4 linked regions of the Arabidopsis thaliana genome follow. The protein of the gene in region 2 interacts with the protein of the main gene of each other region in a pairwise test. Each region holds a gene or a part of one and is shown on either strand. Other genes may lie near its edges. The genes, in order: PHT4;1, AT4G01410, AT3G08930 and AT5G50520.

The links.
Region 1: the proteins of AT4G01410 (region 2) and PHT4;1 interact in a protein complementation assay, tested with the Arabidopsis thaliana proteins (one large-scale study listed by BioGRID).
Region 3: the proteins of AT4G01410 (region 2) and AT3G08930 interact in a protein complementation assay, tested with the Arabidopsis thaliana proteins (one large-scale study listed by BioGRID).
Region 4: the proteins of AT4G01410 (region 2) and AT5G50520 interact in a protein complementation assay, tested with the Arabidopsis thaliana proteins (one large-scale study listed by BioGRID).

The regions. Positions count from the first base shown.
Region 1 is NC_003071.7:12,672,592-12,677,820, forward strand, and holds PHT4;1 (phosphate transporter 4;1), read right to left. Parts: upstream 3,487-5,229; 5' UTR 3,413-3,486; coding exon 3,053-3,412; exon of another isoform or gene 2,978-3,052; coding exon 2,870-2,977; intron 2,738-2,869; coding exon 2,582-2,737; intron 2,493-2,581; coding exon 2,277-2,492; intron 2,189-2,276; coding exon 1,979-2,188; intron 1,893-1,978; coding exon 1,755-1,892; intron 1,677-1,754; coding exon of another isoform or gene 1,668-1,676; exon of another isoform or gene 1,658-1,667; coding exon 1,490-1,657; intron 1,401-1,489; coding exon 1,316-1,400; intron 1,192-1,315; coding exon 1,094-1,191; 3' UTR 710-1,093; downstream 1-709. Other genes in the region: JOSL (JOSEPHIN-like protein), read left to right, coding at 318-709; AT2G29654 (uncharacterized protein), read right to left, coding at 4,688-4,870. UniProt on the Arabidopsis thaliana protein: Specific for inorganic phosphate transport across the thylakoid membrane in a sodium dependent manner. Binds glutamate but cannot transport it. May act as an ascorbate transporter at the thylakoid membrane.
Region 2 is NC_003075.7:576,071-579,822, reverse strand, and holds AT4G01410 (Late embryogenesis abundant (LEA) hydroxyproline-rich glycoprotein family), read right to left. Parts: upstream 1,796-3,752; 5' UTR 1,516-1,795; coding exon 832-1,515; 3' UTR 536-831; downstream 1-535. Other genes in the region: AT4G01400 (oligomeric golgi complex subunit-like protein), read left to right, coding at 2,580-3,752.
Region 3 is NC_003074.8:2,711,538-2,717,909, reverse strand, and holds AT3G08930 (LMBR1-like membrane protein), read right to left. Parts: upstream 4,599-6,372; 5' UTR 4,349-4,598; coding exon 3,999-4,348; intron 3,897-3,998; coding exon 3,811-3,896; intron 3,519-3,810; coding exon 3,403-3,518; intron 3,292-3,402; coding exon 3,181-3,291; intron 2,963-3,180; coding exon 2,864-2,962; intron 2,772-2,863; coding exon 2,649-2,771; intron 2,387-2,648; coding exon 2,324-2,386; intron 2,245-2,323; coding exon 2,180-2,244; intron 2,023-2,179; coding exon 1,913-2,022; intron 1,823-1,912; coding exon 1,708-1,822; intron 1,611-1,707; coding exon 1,545-1,610; intron 1,239-1,544; coding exon 1,128-1,238; intron 1,052-1,127; coding exon 985-1,051; intron 900-984; coding exon 852-899; 3' UTR 544-851; downstream 1-543. Other genes in the region: LHCB4.2 (light harvesting complex photosystem II), read right to left, coding at 1-193; AT3G08920 (Rhodanese/Cell cycle control phosphatase superfamily protein), read right to left, coding at 4,793-4,997, 5,197-5,636; AT3G08910 (DNAJ heat shock family protein), read left to right, coding at 6,099-6,263.
Region 4 is NC_003076.8:20,569,014-20,573,485, forward strand, and holds AT5G50520 (Major facilitator superfamily protein), read right to left. Parts: upstream 2,644-4,472; 5' UTR 2,575-2,643; coding exon 2,233-2,574; intron 2,037-2,232; coding exon 1,222-2,036; intron 1,133-1,221; coding exon 667-1,132; 3' UTR 520-666; downstream 1-519. Other genes in the region: AT5G50530 (CBS / octicosapeptide/Phox/Bemp1 (PB1) domains-containing protein), read right to left, coding at 2,863-3,042, 3,189-3,278, 3,360-3,445, 3,538-3,656, 3,735-3,844, 3,994-4,052, 4,143-4,248, 4,407-4,472.

The sequences.
Region 1 (5,229 bases), on a different chromosome or scaffold from region 2:
GCCTTTGCTTTCCAAATTTCGGCGTTTAAGTTTCTGATATCTTTAGATCTGTTAGTTATTACAATCCTTTTGACATAAAGTATCTAAAGTAAGTATGAAATTGAACCTACCTGCTTATATTTTATTTGTATATGTTTTGAATGTCTACAGTAATCATTGCTTTAAGTGTTAACATGTCATTATTGATACATTATTAAGAATCATGGCTTCTCTGGTCTCTACCTGAACTCTTATAGGCAACTTGTTCAGCATCAATCCCTATAAATATAATCCCTTACTCTCCTCAAGTTTGTTCTCACTCTCTCTTGATATGTCAGCTACAGGAACAAAACGGTTCAATGCAAACACTAGACCAGTAACTCCTGGTAAGCAATCCTCAGTCAAGGGACCATATTATAAGAATCCGGGATGCACAACAAGCTGTGGTTTGAGGCTACCGAGGAAAACGGAATGCACAGCAGCAAGACTGATCAAAGATCTCAGCTGTAAATTCGTTATGGGCTTACGTCTGGTGGTGATGAGGAAGAAGAAGAAGAAGAGATCTCCACCATTGAAGAAGGCTTCTTCTTCTGGGATATCTCAGCCTTCAGTCATCTCTGTCGTTAATGATAATAATCACAGATCAGCGGCAATAGAAGACTGCATACAATTCATAAACTCCTCTTCCTCCTTCACAAGATCAAATTCTACCTGTGGCAGTAAATCTTAAGTTTTAGTTATGACCTTAAGTTTCGAAAACTCTTTCTTGGTCACTTGTTTGCTACGCAATAGCATATTAGAGAATTGCGTGTAATATCTTTATGATACAAATATATATAGAGCTGAAGAGAGATTTTGAGTAATCTTGAGAAAGTGTGAGCTTTGTTTATTTACAAAAAATCATCTGTATATCTTTCATCTACAAAGTATTATTCATATGCGTTTGGCCTAAATCAACGAGCAGAAAGATCCTGAAGAATTTTCTGGCAAAAAAGGAATATTCCGGCTAGCTCTCAGACTGCAATGATACTTGTATAATCAGAGACTGGCGTGAGGTGAAGTTGCACCTGATGAGAGGTCTTGGAGCCGAACTATTTACTATTCTCGGAATGGATCAATCGATTATCTTCTCTCCGGTTGAAAATAGGTTCCAAATGACGGTCCCAACGAGGTAAAGACCGACCGAAATCGTGAAAACGTCATCCCAAGAACCTGAGGCATTTCATGTCATTGTTAATTCCATTGAGAAAACACAAAAAAAATGAAACTTAGAAGAGATTTTATAAAGATTAAGCAAAGCATTGTCAGAATTACGAAGTGTTTTGAGAGTACTGACCGTGTTGTAGTATGTGACCAGTCGCAGCTGTGCCAAGAACTCCGGCAAGTACTCCAGCAGTATTAGACAAACCAAGTAACACTCCCTGAGAAGACCAACAACATCAATGTGCTAATCCATTTTCTTTTGAGTAGCATGATTCATTAAGACTTGGGAGTAATTGACTAAACTTACAGAGTATCTTGGAGCGATGTCTTGATGGTTAGAGTATAGACCAGACTGTGAAAACGCATCAGTCCCCTGACTACAAGCCATGCACAAAACAGCCATTGTAGGAGAATCTATGTGTTTCAGCTGTGTTAGGAAGAACGCTGGTCCAAGAAACCCTATTGTTTGCATTATCTGAATTTCATCATAGAAACTGATTATCGAATGTATCACTTTTACTAGATTGCATCAAAACGGAACTGAAGAACAGAAGAAGTGATATACAAAGTACCTTGCGGACATTCGTGACAGAGAAACCTCGGCTGACAAGTGTATCGGCAATCCATCCACCGGCATTTGCAGATATTGCCATTGTCATCCATGGAAATACAGAGAGAAGTCCTGACTCCATAAGGTTGAACTTCAGCACCTGCCTCACAACCGTCCATATGATTAATGATAAGAAAACAAATAAAACATCAAGCCTCTTGATTAAAAGACAGTAATATAACGGACTTGATGGTAATAAGTTGGCATCCATGTTAAGAGAATGAATGTTCCCCAGTTGTGACAAAAGTGGCAACTGATGAGAGCCCAAACCGGTGGTTTCGACAATATCAGCCTCCACGGGATCGACTTCACTGGCTCTTTGCTAGCACAGTTGTCTGCAATTAGCTTTCTTTCTTCAGGGAGCAATGTTGGATCTTCTAATGGTGAACTCTCTGCCTATAACAAGTAACAACACACGTCAAATCGTCAATGGTAATGAGATATGGGATCTACAAATAGTTAAGAACAGTAGAAAAAGTCTGACCTTAGTTAGCCACAGAGTCAACCATACAGTTCCAAGAGACCCGAAAGAATAAAACACAGAAGGCCATCCAAATTGATGAATCAAGAAAGGCGAAAAGGCTAAACCGGTGACAGATCCAAGGTACATTCCGCTGTAAACAAGCGCGAGTGATCTGCTTCTCTCTTGCACAGGAACCCACTTCGACAATATATTATTCATAGCAGGCATTGCAACACCCTGGAGAACACAAATGAGAACTTACTTCTCCTTATCAACACACACAAATCCGAGACTGATATCTAACATCACTAAGAGTAATCACAAACCTCTCCAACTCCCATGAAAGCACGAACAACGAGCAAGTAAGGAAGACCGAGTTTAGCAGCTACAGGAGTGAGAATTGTAGCGATTGACCACCAAATAACACCGAATCCAAGAACCCTTTTCCCTCCTACAGTGTCTGCCCAAATTCCACCAGCTATCTATAATATCAACAAACCACTGATTCAACTACACTTTTGATTTAAATGTGAAAGCTAGTGAGACTCATTTAAAAAAACATTGATCATCTAAAAATAGAAACCCTAATTAAGGAATCAGGGAAAAAAGATTACCTGTGTAAGAAGGTAACCCCAGAAGAAAGAAGACTGAATCAGACCAACTGTTGCTGGATTCCAACCATACTCAGCTGACATCGGAAGTATAGCTATACTCATATTCACCTGTTAAAACATCATCTGTCCCAAATTGAATAACTCTTCCCAATCCATAAAAATCCAATCTTTTTTGCTACTTACTCTGTCCATATTGCAGAGAAGAAAAGCTGAGAAACAGAGTAACACAATCACCCACCGCTTCGGAAACTCTTCCCACCATGGGAGGACGATAGAGCTAGGCGAATCAGAAACGACGTCATTGTTTCCACTTACTTTATCTCCTTCTACGTAATACGAATTACTGCTTTCACTCTTGTCGGAGCTCCGAACTAATACCCGGAAAACACTGGACCTATTTCGCGGGTAGATCCATACCCGTAACGACTTTGGAGATGGTTTGAGATTACGGAGGCTGCGAGAAGAAGAGGTTTTTTCAGGTGGACGATTTGAAGTGTAGAGAGAGTGAATATTTGAAGAGCAAAGAAGAGCTCTCGCGTTCATGGCGGAGATAGATTTTTTCTTCTTCTTCTCTGTTTTTTTCTTCTTTGTTTTAAGAGAGAGGAATTGATTTTTTTTTAAGGTCGTGGCTGATGTGACGACATGTGGCGTTTAAGTATTGGTTGAGTGAGGATGTCATAATCTAACGGGAAGTAACGGTTAACAGAATAACTATTGGAGGTCCATTATTAACTATCAGTTTAACATAAAGCCCATATAAGGCCCAAATAATGTTAGCTTACGAGCATAAATTGCGAGATCTATCTTACTTCCCCAATGAAAAAAAAATCTCAAAGATTTGGAAGTAGACCTATGAATAGAATTACAATAATACGGCAATACCAATAACAATAGTTTATTGTCCGTAAGGATATGAGTATGACCAGTGATCTACTTTATGTGGAATAAAGGCAGGATCCAAAGGTGGAACCCAAACCACCCACTAATTGCGTTCACAAAGATGCGAAAGAATATTTAATCCAACAATTGATTAAGTATCCCATGCGAGAGAGTATTGATCATGATATTCAAAATTAAGTGTAAAATGTCAATTTGTATGAACGTATGGGATAATAATGTTGAGGACGAATAGACAGAGGTAAATGTCAATCAAATTTGGTAATGTTTGATGTATTCTTAGTCGATTACATTGATTACATTCTTACATATTTGTAAATTAGTGAAATGTATGAAATATATGTAGCTAGATAGAACAAAGAATCTATAAAACTTGTAACAAAATCACAATTAGAAGATTAACGTTTGCAGCTTTCTTATTTATTAATGGAGGAGGTCCAAGTTTAGGGGATGAGAATGATGTAAGATTGTGGTGCGGCAGATTTTACTCATCGAAGGTGTCCCTTCTGGTCTACCATAAGAATTTCCTAGCTTAGGCTTTTATGAATTATGACTGCCACTTTTATTTATTTTATTCTTCTTTTAAGTCATCATTATTGTTGTTGTATCGTTATTTCTTTGTTGCATGCGTTATCCATTTACCAACATCTACCACTGTGTCGTCAAGGTCTTCCAAAATCTAAACGAAACGTAAAATTTATGTACCAGTAATTCATCACTCCTAAAAAAACACTTGATGATTTTCACCAATTGATATAACGACGTAACGAGATCACTAAACTATACGGATCATGCATGTTGATCTATCGGCACGTAATATTGTAGGTGTAGACTATAACCTAGGTTATGGTATTCAATTCAAAGACGTCCAATTCAGAAATATGAGATGGTGTCATGTTACTATTAGATCCGTACCAGTCACTAAACAAGAAGGCAAGATTCATTTCTCAAGAGGTAGAAACGCAAACTTAGGCCGTAAAGACACAAGAATGCCAACTTCATGTGGATGGAGACAGGAAGAGCTTCGAAATGACCCACTTTCCAAAAGTACATGCTTCTCTCACGTGGCCCACTTCTCCAATTATCATTCACCATTTCAATCATTCATCACTAACTCTCCTTTCTCTATTATTTTATTTCTATATTTATTAGCTAAACGACATCTAAGCTATAACCAAATTACACTTTCTAGATTTGGTTATATGAGAAAAAATAATACGTTTTTTAGTTTGTACAATGTGATATTCTCTACCGACAATGTGATGAAAATAATTTATCCAACCAAGTGGTAGTAATTAATCTGATTTATGACCTTCAATCGTTATCCTATATGAGCCTACGAATTAATTTTAAATAGGCGCAACTTTTTTCTACTAATCAAAATTTCCATGGTATATATAATCTCAGTGTCAAATATGACGAGTTTTCATCAATATGTAGTTATATTCAGAGTAATTAGAATA
Region 2 (3,752 bases):
CGTGAAGACAAAATGGGGTTTTGGAAAAGGAAAAGAGGAAAAAGAAAAAGAACAAACGTGTGAAAATTCGAGAAAAATGGTAACACAAAAAGAAATTGGACATGATATAAGTTGCCAAAACCAAAGAGAAAAAATTGACATGATATACCAATCAAATTTTTGAATCAGGTCAACTAATCAAATTCACAACAATCATCCACAATATTATTTAGATTTGACGCTTTCACTGTTTCACATGAAAATTTTACATTTGACGCGATGACTTGTGGAGTCACGATCATTTTAGTCACTCGTTTTAAACGGATGCTTCATTCAAAAAATGTAACTTATATTCAGAAGACTCCTAACGTCCGATTCAGATTTACAAAAAAACAATATCATTGAATCGGAAAACAGAAAAGCATAGTAATATTCTAAGTATTTAATTATAATCGTGAGGAAATAGTTCCGTAATAATGGGGGAAAAATATATATATGATAAAACCAAAATGAGATTTGCCTGAAGATGCCATATGTCTGATCAAACACTCTGAGCTGTTGTGTCGATGAACTCACCATATGCCAAGATACGCTATTAGCGACAACACATTTGTATTGTCAAATGTCATTAATTAACATCCACAGGTCCAACAACAGAGAAACAAAATAATTATCACAAGTAAAATATAAAATTAGTAATATACTTGTACTTATAATTTTTGGCTTATGCCTTTTAATTTATTTTAACACTAGACTCGACGAAACTCATCACTAACATGACCACAAAAAAAAAAGATTACAATTCTAAAACACAAAGATTAAAAAAGAAAACATAACGAAGTAAAATTAAGACTAGACATCAACTTTACAAGTTGAAGGAGCGAGAAGAGGAACTTGTCCGTTAGAAGATGGATTAAATCTCAACCACACATCACATCTGGCGTAAAATCCATACCGTCCAGTCTTAATCGCACCAGCTTTCCAACGTAGCCTCCCAAAAATCACCACTCTCATCAAAACGACGCCGTAAGCTTCATCATTTTTTAAACCATTAGCTACTTCCGGCGAGACTGGTATACCGTTGCCTCCCATCACCGGAGCTATCACAACCGTAGATTTATGTCCTAAACGAAGCGGTGGTAGTGGAAGCGGCGGTGTTATGATCTGATCTTTGTACGTTACGTACATAGAGAGCTTGTCGTAGTGAATGGAGACTCTCCGGTTAGGGTTTCTTGCTAAAACGCTGAACTGAACGGAGGTTGAGATTAACGGCGGCGCTGTGAAATTCAGGTCGTAGATGGCGGCTCCGACGACGGTGAGACGTGGTTTATGTGGACGGTAGACGAGCCAAAGGATTAAGGCTATGATACCTAGTATGACAAGGATGGTGAAGATCGCGCCGCAGATTGCGCGGCGAGCATCTCCACCGCCTCCTCCGCCTTCTTTAGAGTAAGATTCTGGCGTTGAAGAAGCGGAGGGAGCGTTCTTGTGATCTGCTTTGGCTGCGTGCTCTGCTTTTGCTTCTCCTTCTCCCATGGCTATACTCTACAGATATAAGTGTTAAAGTGTGTATGTATAGGTATGTGTGTGTCTATACGAGAATCAGAGGGTTCGGTGAAGAGTGAAGACTCTAAAGAAGGAGGAGGAGAAGAAAGAAGATAAGTAGATGCAAGGTTTTGTCTCTTTTCTAGTTAATAAGAGTAAACAGTCTTCTAGAGTACAGTTTTATTAATTGTTTATTAACTTAGAAAGCTTGTAGTTGTAATTATGTGTTAAAGCTAATCTTTTTATAAAGTAGCCGTAAATTACTACTGTTTTTACATTGTGATTTTATTTTGTTATAATACTTAATGTAATAATATAAGATAGAGAAGTACTTTCGAAAGACTCCAAATCTCGGTGCAACCGTTCACGTGACGGATCTGATGAGTGATGAATTTTTTAAAAATGAAAAATCCAATGTAACGTGTATACATATGGCTATACATAATCAAATACTTTGTTGTCAATGATTGACTTATTTGGTGACAACTATGGTTTCGTGCAACGTGATAACTATCACTTTTTGGCCGTGTTAATTTTTAAAAAAATTAGAATGAAATTTATCAGGTTACGGCCTGTCAAAGTTAGCAATAACCTAATATCTGTTTGCATGCCAGAATACGGTTATGTAGAAAGAAAATTAAATTATCATATTTCACAATTCTTTATCAACTGTATAAAGCAATTAATAATAAATTAATTAGATACCACATGTGTCATATTTGTTCTAATGTTTAGAAAATAAAAGTACAAGTCTTTTATGTCCACATCTCCAACAATACTTCTGACCAAATTCCATATATTATTAGTAAGCTTCCAAAATAAATAATAATCACATTTAAGAAGAATCTGTTATTTAATCACACTAACTGAGATACCGCACCACCGACACTGTAGTCACCGACAATGCTGTGGATGCTACCTGGGCCTCAATTATAAGCCCATTATAAAATTGGGCCTACACTAAAACTATTGTGTACAGAGAGATATTTGATAATTTGCTGACTGATACAAGTCTCACTTCCAACGGCCGATTTATTAAAAAAAAACTCCGACAAATGATTCGCCGGCCGATCTACGACTTCGCCGCCGTTTTTCGCCACTTAACTTCTCCGTTATCGACATCCTCGCGTTTTCTGTTCTATTCTTCATCTGAACATGAAGCTCGAAAACCGATTGTCTCGAACCCTAAATCCCCAATCGGGTCTCCGACTCGGGTTCAAAAGCTCATAGCTTCGCAATCGGATCCTCTCCTCGCCAAGGAGATTTTCGATTATGCTTCTCAACAGCCCAATTTCCGCCATTCTCGATCTTCTCATCTAATCCTCATTCTCAAACTCGGCCGTGGTAGATATTTCAATCTTATCGACGACGTTCTCGCCAAACACAGATCAAGTGGTTATCCATTAACCGGAGAAATTTTCACTTATCTGATCAAAGTCTACGCAGAAGCAAAGTTACCGGAGAAAGTCTTAAGTACGTTTTACAAAATGCTGGAGTTCAATTTCACGCCGCAGCCAAAACATCTGAATCGGATTCTAGATGTTCTCGTAAGCCATAGAGGTTATCTCCAGAAAGCTTTTGAGCTTTTCAAGAGTTCACGGCTTCATGGAGTAATGCCTAACACGAGAAGTTACAATTTATTGATGCAAGCTTTTTGTTTGAATGATGATTTGAGTATTGCATACCAACTGTTTGGTAAAATGCTTGAGAGAGATGTTGTCCCTGATGTGGATTCTTATAAGATTCTGATACAAGGGTTTTGTAGGAAAGGTCAAGTGAATGGTGCTATGGAATTACTTGATGATATGTTGAATAAAGGATTCGTGCCTGATAGGTTAAGTTACACGACATTGTTGAACAGTTTGTGTAGGAAGACACAGCTTAGAGAGGCTTATAAGCTTCTATGTAGGATGAAGTTAAAAGGTTGTAATCCTGATCTTGTTCATTACAACACGATGATTCTCGGGTTTTGTAGAGAAGATCGTGCGATGGATGCTAGGAAAGTTCTTGATGATATGTTGTCTAACGGTTGCTCGCCTAATTCGGTCTCGTATAGGACTTTGATTGGAGGATTGTGTGATCAAGGAATGTTTGATGAAGGGAAGAAGTATCTAGAAGAGATGATATCCAAAGGGTTTTCTCCTCATTTCTCGGTTTCAAATTGTTTGGTAAAAGGGTTTTGTAGCTTCGGGAAAGTCGAAGAAGCTTGTGATGTTGTAGAGGTTGTG
Region 3 (6,372 bases), on a different chromosome or scaffold from region 2:
GATATTCGGGTGATTTTGCGCCTGGGAACCATAGAGGCCGGTCTGAGATAACCGTCTTAGCCTTTTTGGGAGATGCTTTCTTGGTTCCGAATCCGAACCGGGCTGTGAACCGGCTTGAATTGGAGCTAATGTCGGAAACCACCCGGGTACCCATGATTGAAGAAGCAGCAGCGGCGGTTGAAGTGGCGGCCATCTCCGGCGTCGTTAGTTAGTTCTGTCGCGTTTGCGGTTTGTAACTTATCTGAAGCAAATGGCGTTTTTAAGTGGCGGTATGTGTGTGGGAGAGATCTCAGAGAACGAATCTTGACGGTTAGATGGAGAAACAAATCCATCTGACGGTAGGAAACAAAATCAGCCTTATCTATAAAAAGCTCGCGTTATCTATCCTGTCTGTCTTTTAGAGTTAGATGAGGCAAGCAAGCTGATTGGGCAAAAGAAGCTATTGACGAATCGCATAGCAACGCCACTTGTCACTTCAGCAGCACATGTCCACTTGTATAGTTGTATGCCTTGCATACTAAACAAATTCAAGAATATTGATAATCCGGTTAGGTTCGGTTACAATTGTCTCAAACCACAAAGGAAGTCTCTGTCTTGTAAAAATTCGAAGAAGGCTTCTCATTAAGAAAATATGATTACATGATCGCATCCGAGACAGTACAATAGACCAAGACAGGACAGCTAACTGTTGCGCAACCAAACAGCACACTCACAAGAAATTTAATAATACATTCAGGAAAATAAACCTCAGAAGCAGAGTCTCTAGATACTTCTGGAATCGATGATGATCCAGAAACAAGTAGAAACTTTGTCGACAGCACTCAATCAGATCCCCGTGAAAACGTTTTACATTAAGAAGAGAGCTGGAAACGGCCACTAGTTTTTTTTCTTCTCCATCCCTGCCAAAACACCAAAGACCATATGATTCTACAAATACTTAATACAGAAGAGAAAACCCGAGGAGTAACATCAACGAGGACTTACAAAGGCAATGTAATATAGGAAAGTCAGTCCAGCCAGGATAACAAACCCGATTTGGAACACATTGTACCTGAAATATAAAACCTCAATAAGACGCATCACGGATATAGCATATGACTGCTATATGTTATACCACTTCTACTTACTTGTAAAGGTACTTAATTCCTCTAAGGGACTGCAATGTGTGGCCAAATATCTCCTGGGCAGCAGTGGCTTGAGCGTAATATCCAAATGCAGTGGCACAAAATTGAATCACGCTGCATTTTAAATGAACCACATTACTCAGACTGTGAGGATTAACATGTAATTGTGAGGGTAGCAGCTGTATATTAAAAGTCTTGGTTTGACATCTAATAGAGTACAAAGGATACCCAAGTGCATGAGTAAAGTAACTATAAACTTCGATTCAGGCATTCGCCGGAAAGGAAATTAGTTTTAGTGATGGCATGAAAACACTGATAAGTTAATGTATGCACATAAACATGCTTGATCTAGATCCGTTTATCAGAGTGCACTTGATCCCAACAGATACAAAGGCAGAAGAAGAGACCAGAGAGACTTACCTGATTGAACAAAGAAGAATGAGGCCGACATTGAAGAGGAAAGAGTTCATTAGAGTAGCTCCCCATCTGAAATAAGTTGATATGGCCAATCAGCAATCAAGAGAAGGTAATGAATGACCTTGGAAAATAGCCAAATAATGTTGAAACCGGTTAGATGGATTACTTCATTGGATGAATGGTAATGAAGACCAGCTTCAAACCCAGCATCATTGCCCCAGCGATAACAGCAAGTAGAAGGTAGAAACAGAAGAAAGCAAAGGCAGCAGTGCCTAAAAGACCTGGAGATTTCCACACGTACCAGCATGGAGTCAGTTAGAAACAAAGAAGAAACCTTATACAGGATAACAAGGACAAAAGTATGAACTTACCCCAAACATCATCAAGCTTAATGAAAACCTCGTTAAGAAAAGGGGAGAGAGGAGGGTCGACGAGTAGATATATGATGATGTGTGCAACCCAAGCAATGGAAACGATCAATCTACAAAGACATTAAAAATTTGCCATTTAAAAAGACGCTTAGCTCGGGAGCTTAAGAGTGCAAACCTAAATATGCAAGAACTGTATGCATTATGCATGATTTATACAACATGTAACAAAAAAAAATGCAAAGGAGGTTTCTGCTTAGATGTACTAACCCTACGATTCCAAGAATAAACTTGGCCAAGTATCCGAGCACAGTGAAAGCCCATGCAGTTTCTGCCTGGAAAAAGGTACCAGGGAATAAAATAGTTGAACAAGAAAAATATTATAGTATAAGTTCTAAGATACACTCGTCTTACCTGCTCTCCTTGAGGATACATCTCTTCTAAGAGGTTCACATCTTCCTCCAATTGGAGCAACTCCTGCAGGGTTACCACATTCAATTATAGGATTGAGGGGACACAGCTTAAATCCACAACCAAGCAAAGAAAAGCTACCAATAAAGTCAATAACCAATTCTACTATCTCACTAGCTTTTCACTACAAGTTGTCATTCTCATAACTCCACAGACGACCAAAGCCTCTTTACACACAAGGGACCAGTATGAATAGGCAAACTTTCCAAGTTGCTACTTATGAAACAAAATTTAGATAAGATACTGAACCTTGAGATATATGAGGTACCTTTTCAACTGCTTTCACATTTTTCCGCCATTTCCTGCCCTTAGCACCACTTCTTTCTTCCTGATGAAGTCCATCAGCTGCTTTCTTTAGTTCTCTTGCCTTTTTACCTAGTTCGGTTGCCTCCTGTAATATATTTATGGAGTTAATCATGCAAGAGACAGAGGGATTGACTCAAGATCTAGAGAGATGCTTCCAGAGGAGAACAATAACCAGACCTTTATATATTGTGATCGAGTGATAACAGCCTTTGGTCGCCTGATGAATGCAGTGATAAGTCCTAATGGTAGACATGCAATACCAACACCACCAAATATCTAGAAATATTTGAGAGAACAATTAGTTATCAGATTTTTTTTACTGAAATGTATAAATCAAACATCTATTTACTTCAATGGATACAGAATTATATCTTGCCATGCATCTCATCTGTTGAGAGTTTGTGTTAGTCAATGAAGAATCAACAATATAAGACAGATTAAATCCTTTCAAAGCAAACAATGCACTTCTCAACATGAAAGAACAATGGTCATACCGTGAAAAGAACTGACCCAACAATTGTCGCAAGAGCAACAACATATTCTGGAAAAGTAGTACGCATAGTCCATGTTTTCTCAGATGTGGGATTAGCTGTAAATGCTGAGCACTGCATTGATAGCCAGAGACAGGAATATGTTAAATGCTGAAACTCTCTACGGCATAAATGACTCATGATATAAAAACTAATGCTAATGCTACATTCAAGAGGCAAACATACCTGGCGAGCAGTGTTACCTATGCATGGTTGAGTATTTGAAAACTGCCAGGAAGTAGGGAAAGTGGATGTGGCAGAAGCCAAATGCCTGACCGAGAAGTCCACCTTTCCAATGACACCTACATGATGAAGATGTTACCAATAATGTTAAGGTATTCCTAGCATATAAATGGATAAGATAGATATCTCAACCCAAGCCCTGATTGGGTAATTTAAAAGCCAAAATTAACATAAGAATGCAGTCAAATCATAGAGACCAACATCAGATTCATCCTTGCCACATGCTCACTAATGGATTCAATAACCACTCCAGCTAAACAAGTATAACCTCCAGACTATCGTCATTCGTCAATACAGAAAGACGCTGAATTTCAAGTCGACAAAAGAATTGAAAACAGAGGAACAACTAACCATATAAAATTCCAAGCACCAGAGCACAAACAACAGCCGTGGTAACTACCCAAATTAAGGCACTTTTTATCCTCTTTCCAAGAGTCCTGTGAAAAAACGAAAGAAAAAAAGCCCACAAATTGTCATCAGTATTCGATTAACTCAAAACTTACAACATAGAGATACTAAAATTTCATCAAGCTACGAACTTGTCCTGGTCGCCTTCATAGAAAAACATTGCGAAGGGGATGACAAAGAACACGAGAATAGCGTCCACGATATAAATAGCAAGCCAAAGATCCTTCATGGGCAAGGTGAGATTGCAAGCTCCATTGTATATAGCATGTCGACAAGCATGCCGATTGGCCACATCAGCCGGTAACATGAGAATCGAGATCATAGCAATAGAAAGGCCAAAAACAACGACGAATTTGGGGAAATAAGCCTGGTTTGCATCATCTGGATGCTGATAGTTGACGAGAAGATAGATGCTAGAGATGAATACGATGACGCAAACAACGATCGCGACAATCACGAGAGCGAGGTTGAAATCGCCCATCGTGTGCAATGTACAACGTCCCCAATTCGAGAGATTTCGATCCCGGAACGATTTGGAAGATGTAGCACCCAATTGCAAAGGCTAGGGTTTTCTAGGAGTTCAAATTTTGAAAATTGAATTTGGGGATTTTAGTAGATCTGGATTTCTTTCTTTTTTTCCCTCTCGAAAACCAGACGAGGGAAGAAGAAAGAGGACTGGGAGAGGATGAACATTCTTGTAAATTACGAAGCTACCCTCAACAATGTGCTCTCGTGCCTAATGGCTTTGGGTGTAAACGTAAATTGTTACTAGGTTTGGAGATTAGCTGTCCGAAGCAAATGATTCGGACAAAATATTTCAACTAATGAAAGACATCTGTAAGTAATAAACCAGTGACCAATTGTGTAAACCGGACACAATTTTAAAAACAAAAAATGTCTTCACACTTGGCTCCAAAAAACCAATTTAACGACTCTTCTGGCCAAAAGACGGTAACAGTACAAGTAGTTTGAGTAAATAAAATGATACACCTCCTATCGTGGCGAACCGAAGCTCTTCGGTCCCTTCGATCTCTGGAAAATCTCCCTCGGATACTCGGTTAAACCCTCCGGTTAACCACCCTAAGCTTTTGTACCCTTCTCCGTGGAGCTTTGATACAGCCGCCAACGACCTGAGAATGAGATTGAAAAGCAACACCATTTATAACAACCAAACCGAACCAAAGAGTTCAGTTTAATTTATACTATCCAAACCAAAAGATTCTATGATCAAATCGATTGATTAATAGTTTATTTAGTTTGATAAGTTTCTCTAAAATCTGGACTAAAACTGGCAATGATTAACCAAAATGCAACATATAAAGCTGGTACCTGAGTCCTTCACCGCACACGACGAGCACTTTACTCTCTTTGTCCGGGACAGCCTCCACAACACGGAGGGCGAATTCGTCATTGATCATGGTGAATCTCTGGCCCGTCCAAAGCCCAATATATCCCAAATGAATCCATTTCTTCAGCAACGTGATCGGCCCATTGTCTGGATCTTCCACGAACAGTGGCACGTGTAAGGAACCTTTCACGCGTGCCTTTTCTCTTTCCCAAGCCGGCCTCACGTCTAACAGTATATATCCCTCCGACGCCACAACCGCATTGGCTTCTTTGGGCTCCACCGCCCGTACCTTGCCGGAAAGTATCAGCTCTTTACCGGAAACGGCGGAGATCACTGGTAATCTGTATGATTGTCGGAGGCGTCGGTTTAGTACTACTGGTAGCTTGTGGATATGGTTTAGCTGAGGAAGAAGAACTGTCATCTTTAATTCTTTTGGATTTTCAGAGGAATTTAACCAATGATATTGTTCTTCAGATTTTTCATTTTAAGAACACCCCAAAACTTCTTACTTATTTCCATTTTAGGCCCTCAGATATTTCATAATTTGACTATCACCCTCGCTTAAAGTAAAGTAACAAACATATACTAGTGGGGTCAAATGTTAAATAATAAATATATAGGGCTACTAAGTGTAAATTTCCTCTCTTTGAAACGACACCGTGATTCTTAATTCTGATAAGGTTTGACTTTTGAGCTAGGTTTGCCGAACCAAAAACAGAACCGGTAAAGACCAAATAAAAGAACCGGTCGGGTATTTCTTGTATCTCGATAAATATTTCGAACCGGTACGGAATGATCCGCTAGAGTTTTTCCCATTGAAGAAGATCGAGTGAAATTCGAAGAGCGAATCAAAGAGGAAGAAGAAGAAGGAGGAGGTATAGCAATGGGGGTCGATTATTACAAGGTTCTTCAGGTGGATCGGAATGCGAAAGACGACGACTTGAAGAAAGCTTATCGCAAACTCGCCATGAAGTGGCATCCAGACAAGAACCCTAACAACAAAAAAGACGCCGAAGCCAAATTCAAGCAGATCTCCGAAGCTTACGATGTAAATTAACAAAATGCGTTTTCTCTTTTCAGAGAGATTCCCATCTTTTGCTTGAATTTGAGCAATTGTGTAGTTTGTCAATTCACTATGGTTACTTCTCTGGCAATTA
Region 4 (4,472 bases), on a different chromosome or scaffold from region 2:
TTTTCTTAGCTTCTCTTATCTTCGTTTTGAATTAACGTTTAAGTAAAGATAAAAACACTCTCAACACCTTTAAGATGATGAACATGTAGTAAAGATTAGTAAACAAATACGACTCTTAAGGTAAAAAATATTAATTTTATATTTTCCAGTTATGTTTTTAATTCAGTCAAAGCACTCATCAGTTCCCAATTTCATATTATGTCCATACACAAAATCTCAAAACGAAGGAGAAGAGAATAGAACAAGAACGATACCTAGGTTTCTCCCCACAATCAAACTGAAGCATCCAAATTTCATAAGTTCAAAAACCATAAAGTGATACGTATTTGACAAGAATTTCGTACATGCATATAAATGACATTTTATGGTAAAACATTTCCCCTATTTCAGTGTTCCATTTCAATACTCAAAATCTATAGTTGGTATTTGTAGAAATTAATCAAATATAGTTGGTTTTTTAATTTTTCTTTCAAGAATTTTTTTTATATCTATTAAAATTATGTTTATGTAATGTAAGTTATCTAACTCTTTTAGGGCAATTATTTTTTTAATGTTACATTTAAATACTTGTGAACACCAATTAAAGATTTTGAGTATGGAATTCAAAATTGCTTACATATATCTTCCAAAGACCAAATGAAAATTGCTTACACAATTACACTATCTTCAAGTCTTTGAGACTCGGTGATGAAGCCTCAAGTAAAACTTCCTCGTCCTATAAACCACACTCAAACTCAAAACCATAGCCATTAGACACAACATGGACATGAGACTGCACGTGACTGAATAACACACCGAGCCCGTGCAGACGAGCGACTCAGTCTCTGTGGTGGGTCCGGCTTGCTTTCTGGCGTAGTAGTCATAGATGTTACTAGCGATCACACCTGAGAACACAAATGACCCAATAGGCAAAGCTGTAATCTGGAAATTGTAAAGAGAACCGAAGCTCTTCAGGCCAAAAATGTCAGAGACTGAAGCAGGAGCAATCGCCCAATGAGCGCCATAACCCATTCCTATCACAATGGTCACTACGTAGATCTTCCCTGGCCAATCTATGGCATAGTAGATGAGCCCCAAAGACATTATCGCCTGAACCACAGACATTGCCAACGTTCTTGGAAGTGAGAGTTTCCTTTTGAAGAGGCAGAAAGAGATGAATCTGTCAGTAAAAAACACAGATGCTTCTTAAAAGCGAAAGTGAAATGGTTAAGGGTTTTGTACCTTATGATTAGCTCAGAGAAGTAGCCACCAGCAACACGGCCGAGAAAATTGGAGATGCTGATCAGTGAGACAAATATTTTGGTGTTGCTGTACCCGAGGGAATAACAAATCTGACCAAGATTGTCTATAATCGTGATTCCCGAACCTACACCTAGAACCAGAGACATAAATATAAGCCAGAAGTCAGCTTGTCCCAAAGCTTGTAACAAGGTGAAATCTTCTCCTATACACGGCGCTCTTTTCTTTTCCGGCGGTCTGTCACTTCTCTCAATTAAAGTTCTAGCCTCATGCTGATCCACATTGGAAGTTCCTTCTTCAGGCTTCACTGAGGTGACATTATTACCCGAGATGAAAACCGATGAAAAAGGGACAAGAACTGGAACAACCATGAAAATGACAAGGATGGCTCCAGAGGTTGTGATAATCGTTTGAGTCATATCAAAAACACTCTGAAGTACCAACAATCCTAGTAAATATACCGCAAGGACAACACAGAAACCGTAAATAGCCAGGAATCTTAAATCATCAGATCGCAAGTTCGTTCTGCAACTTCTTTCCACGGGTCTAACAATAAATAGTAGAGCAAGAACCACGACTGGTGGTCCAAGAGCAACCATGAGAATAACCGAAGAATCATGAGAAGGGTTGAACATCAAATAAACCTGAGTCAAGATTGCTCCACTCAAGCCAGAAAACCCTTTCAGGATTCCCACCACAGGACCTCGGCTTTCTGGGAAGTTATGAATGCATGACACAAGCGACGCTGTATTGTAGTATGTTTCCCCATTTGTTCCCACGAATATAGCAACAAACAACTACATGAACAAATAAACCAGAATCAAGCAGGATCACACTCATATGTAAGCTTTAACATCTTTTTTTTTTTTTTTTTTTGAATATCTGGAAGTTCAAGCCAAAATTAGAGAATCGTACAAATAATCAAAAGCAAAGCACAATTACTAACGAAATCGCAAATGTGTAAGCAATTTTGATTTGTAAAATTCATCTCACCATCCAGAGAGGCAAATTAGGCAATTGGCCAGTGACGACGAGCCAAACAACACCGTAGCCGAAAAGGTTCTGAGTTGCACCGACGAGTAGAACCACCCAGGAAGGTGAGACTTCAGATAAAGCACCGGAGACGAATCCGATGGCGTCACCGAGGTTTTTAGCTACGCCGAGAAGAGCGATCTGTTTCTGATTGTAGCCAAGGGAAGTCTTGATTGCCGGAGACATAGAGCCGCCGAATAGATAGCCAACGCCGGCGACGGATTGGACCCACATGGCGCAGACGAAAACTAGCCATCGGTCGTTGACTAGGAGCTCTAGTTTGTGACGCCACAAAGTCATCATAGTCAAACGCTCTCAAAACTTTCTATTTCTTTTTTTTTTTCGTTGATTCATATGATTACTTATTTTGTAATTTTCAGTTTCAAAGAAAAGTTTGGACAACACCGTAAATACAAATAAAATGTTTACTTATTTATATACAATTCATGTGTAAGGTTGAGAAACAAATAAGCAACAAGATAAAAAAAAAAAAAAAACACGAATCAATGAAGAGGTATACACTTCACAAGCTTAGGTTTAAAAATTGGTTTGCAAAAGCATTCACTTTTGTATCTCCCCAAAATGAATCTGTTAGTTTGAGTTGCGCTTAAGGTACACCAAAACTCCAAGTCCAGCAGCAAGAGCAGCCCCGGCTGCAACCGTTTTGTAAGCGGCTGCCCATGAGTTTGACTGGTCGTAGTCCATATCCTCTGAACTTAGACCTCTCCTGTGCCCTCTTTCTTCTGTGTAGTCCAAATGCAATTTTAAACCCTGCACCATTTGGAATCCCCAACCCAAATATACTCTTCTTTAGCCCAAAATCCACATTAACCAAAACGAGACCGCGGATTTAAGGTATCATTTCATCCTAGTTCTTTACACTAATTGACAATAAGTATGGATGTACAATTTATTACCTTCCAGCCTATTGATTTTGCATGTTCTACAGCAGCTCCAAGATCATTATCTGATGCTAAAACAACTTTGTCATTGTCTTCATCTTCGTACTACACAACACAAAATATGTCAACAAAAGAAGAAAATTTTTCCTATCTTCTCGTTTAATAAGTTTTCGAATAAATATGTACCATTATCTGAGGCAAGTTATCAGGCTCAATGTCATCCCCCATTCTTTGTAGGATTGCTGTTATCAGAGTTGTCAAACTCTGTGTTTCTGTTATTGAAAAGTAAAAACAAAAGGTTAATGGACTAAGCAGCATTGGCATAATAGGTGTCCTGTTTCTCAAGAGTTATGATTTAACGTACCACACATAAATCTATGCATTCGTCCCTTTTTATCTTGGAGTTTAAAAGCAAATGTGTTGGGATATGAAAATGATTTTGTTACTTCTATCTCCGAAGATAATTTCATCGACTCTTCTTCACTGAAAAATCATATGATCCAGTTTAAGAAACCACCTTATGGTCAAAACTAAATGGTTCAAAGGAATATGAGTAGAAACCTCCTCGTTTCATCGCCATCTTCGTTAGGAGACAAAGCCATAGCAGAGTCCCAAAACTTTTGCATCATTGAGTTTGCTGTCTCATTGTTTATTCCAGCCGTACTTCCAGCCTTGTCAAAAGGAAATAAAGAGTTTATAGCAAAACAAGAATAGTATGCAACAAATATATCATGTTCTTTCTTCTCTCGGATTGTTTATCGATCTTGTCTCATGTTTTCGACTTCAACTAGAAGAGAATAATAGAAGAAAAAAAGTGTACCGTAGTAACAGCAGCATGAGTTATGTGGATCACATCAATAACAGCGACAACATCTCCATCTGTATGTAATCATCAACATTAGACAAGTGTTGAAATAACAATGCTTCATACTTTATAGCTCAAAGTCAGTTTTGAGGACATTTTGTTACCTTTATCCAATACAGGAAGATGCAGAAATTTGCCATTATGCATGATATGTAAGGCTTCAACAATTGCCATATCAACTGTTGCAGATTCTGGATTCGGTGTCATAACCTATAGAATAATGGGATTGAAAAGAAACAACAAAGACGAAAAATGAGTACTCATATAAATCTAAGAGTTGAAAAGAATAATTTCAACCAGATTCAAAACTAACGAGCATAAGCATACATACATATATAGCGAAAACACGAACTTAACGAAAACTTTACCTTCTCCACAGTAGTTGTCTCTTGAGGAAGGTTTTGGGATATCACCCGCATCAAGATGTCCTTTGA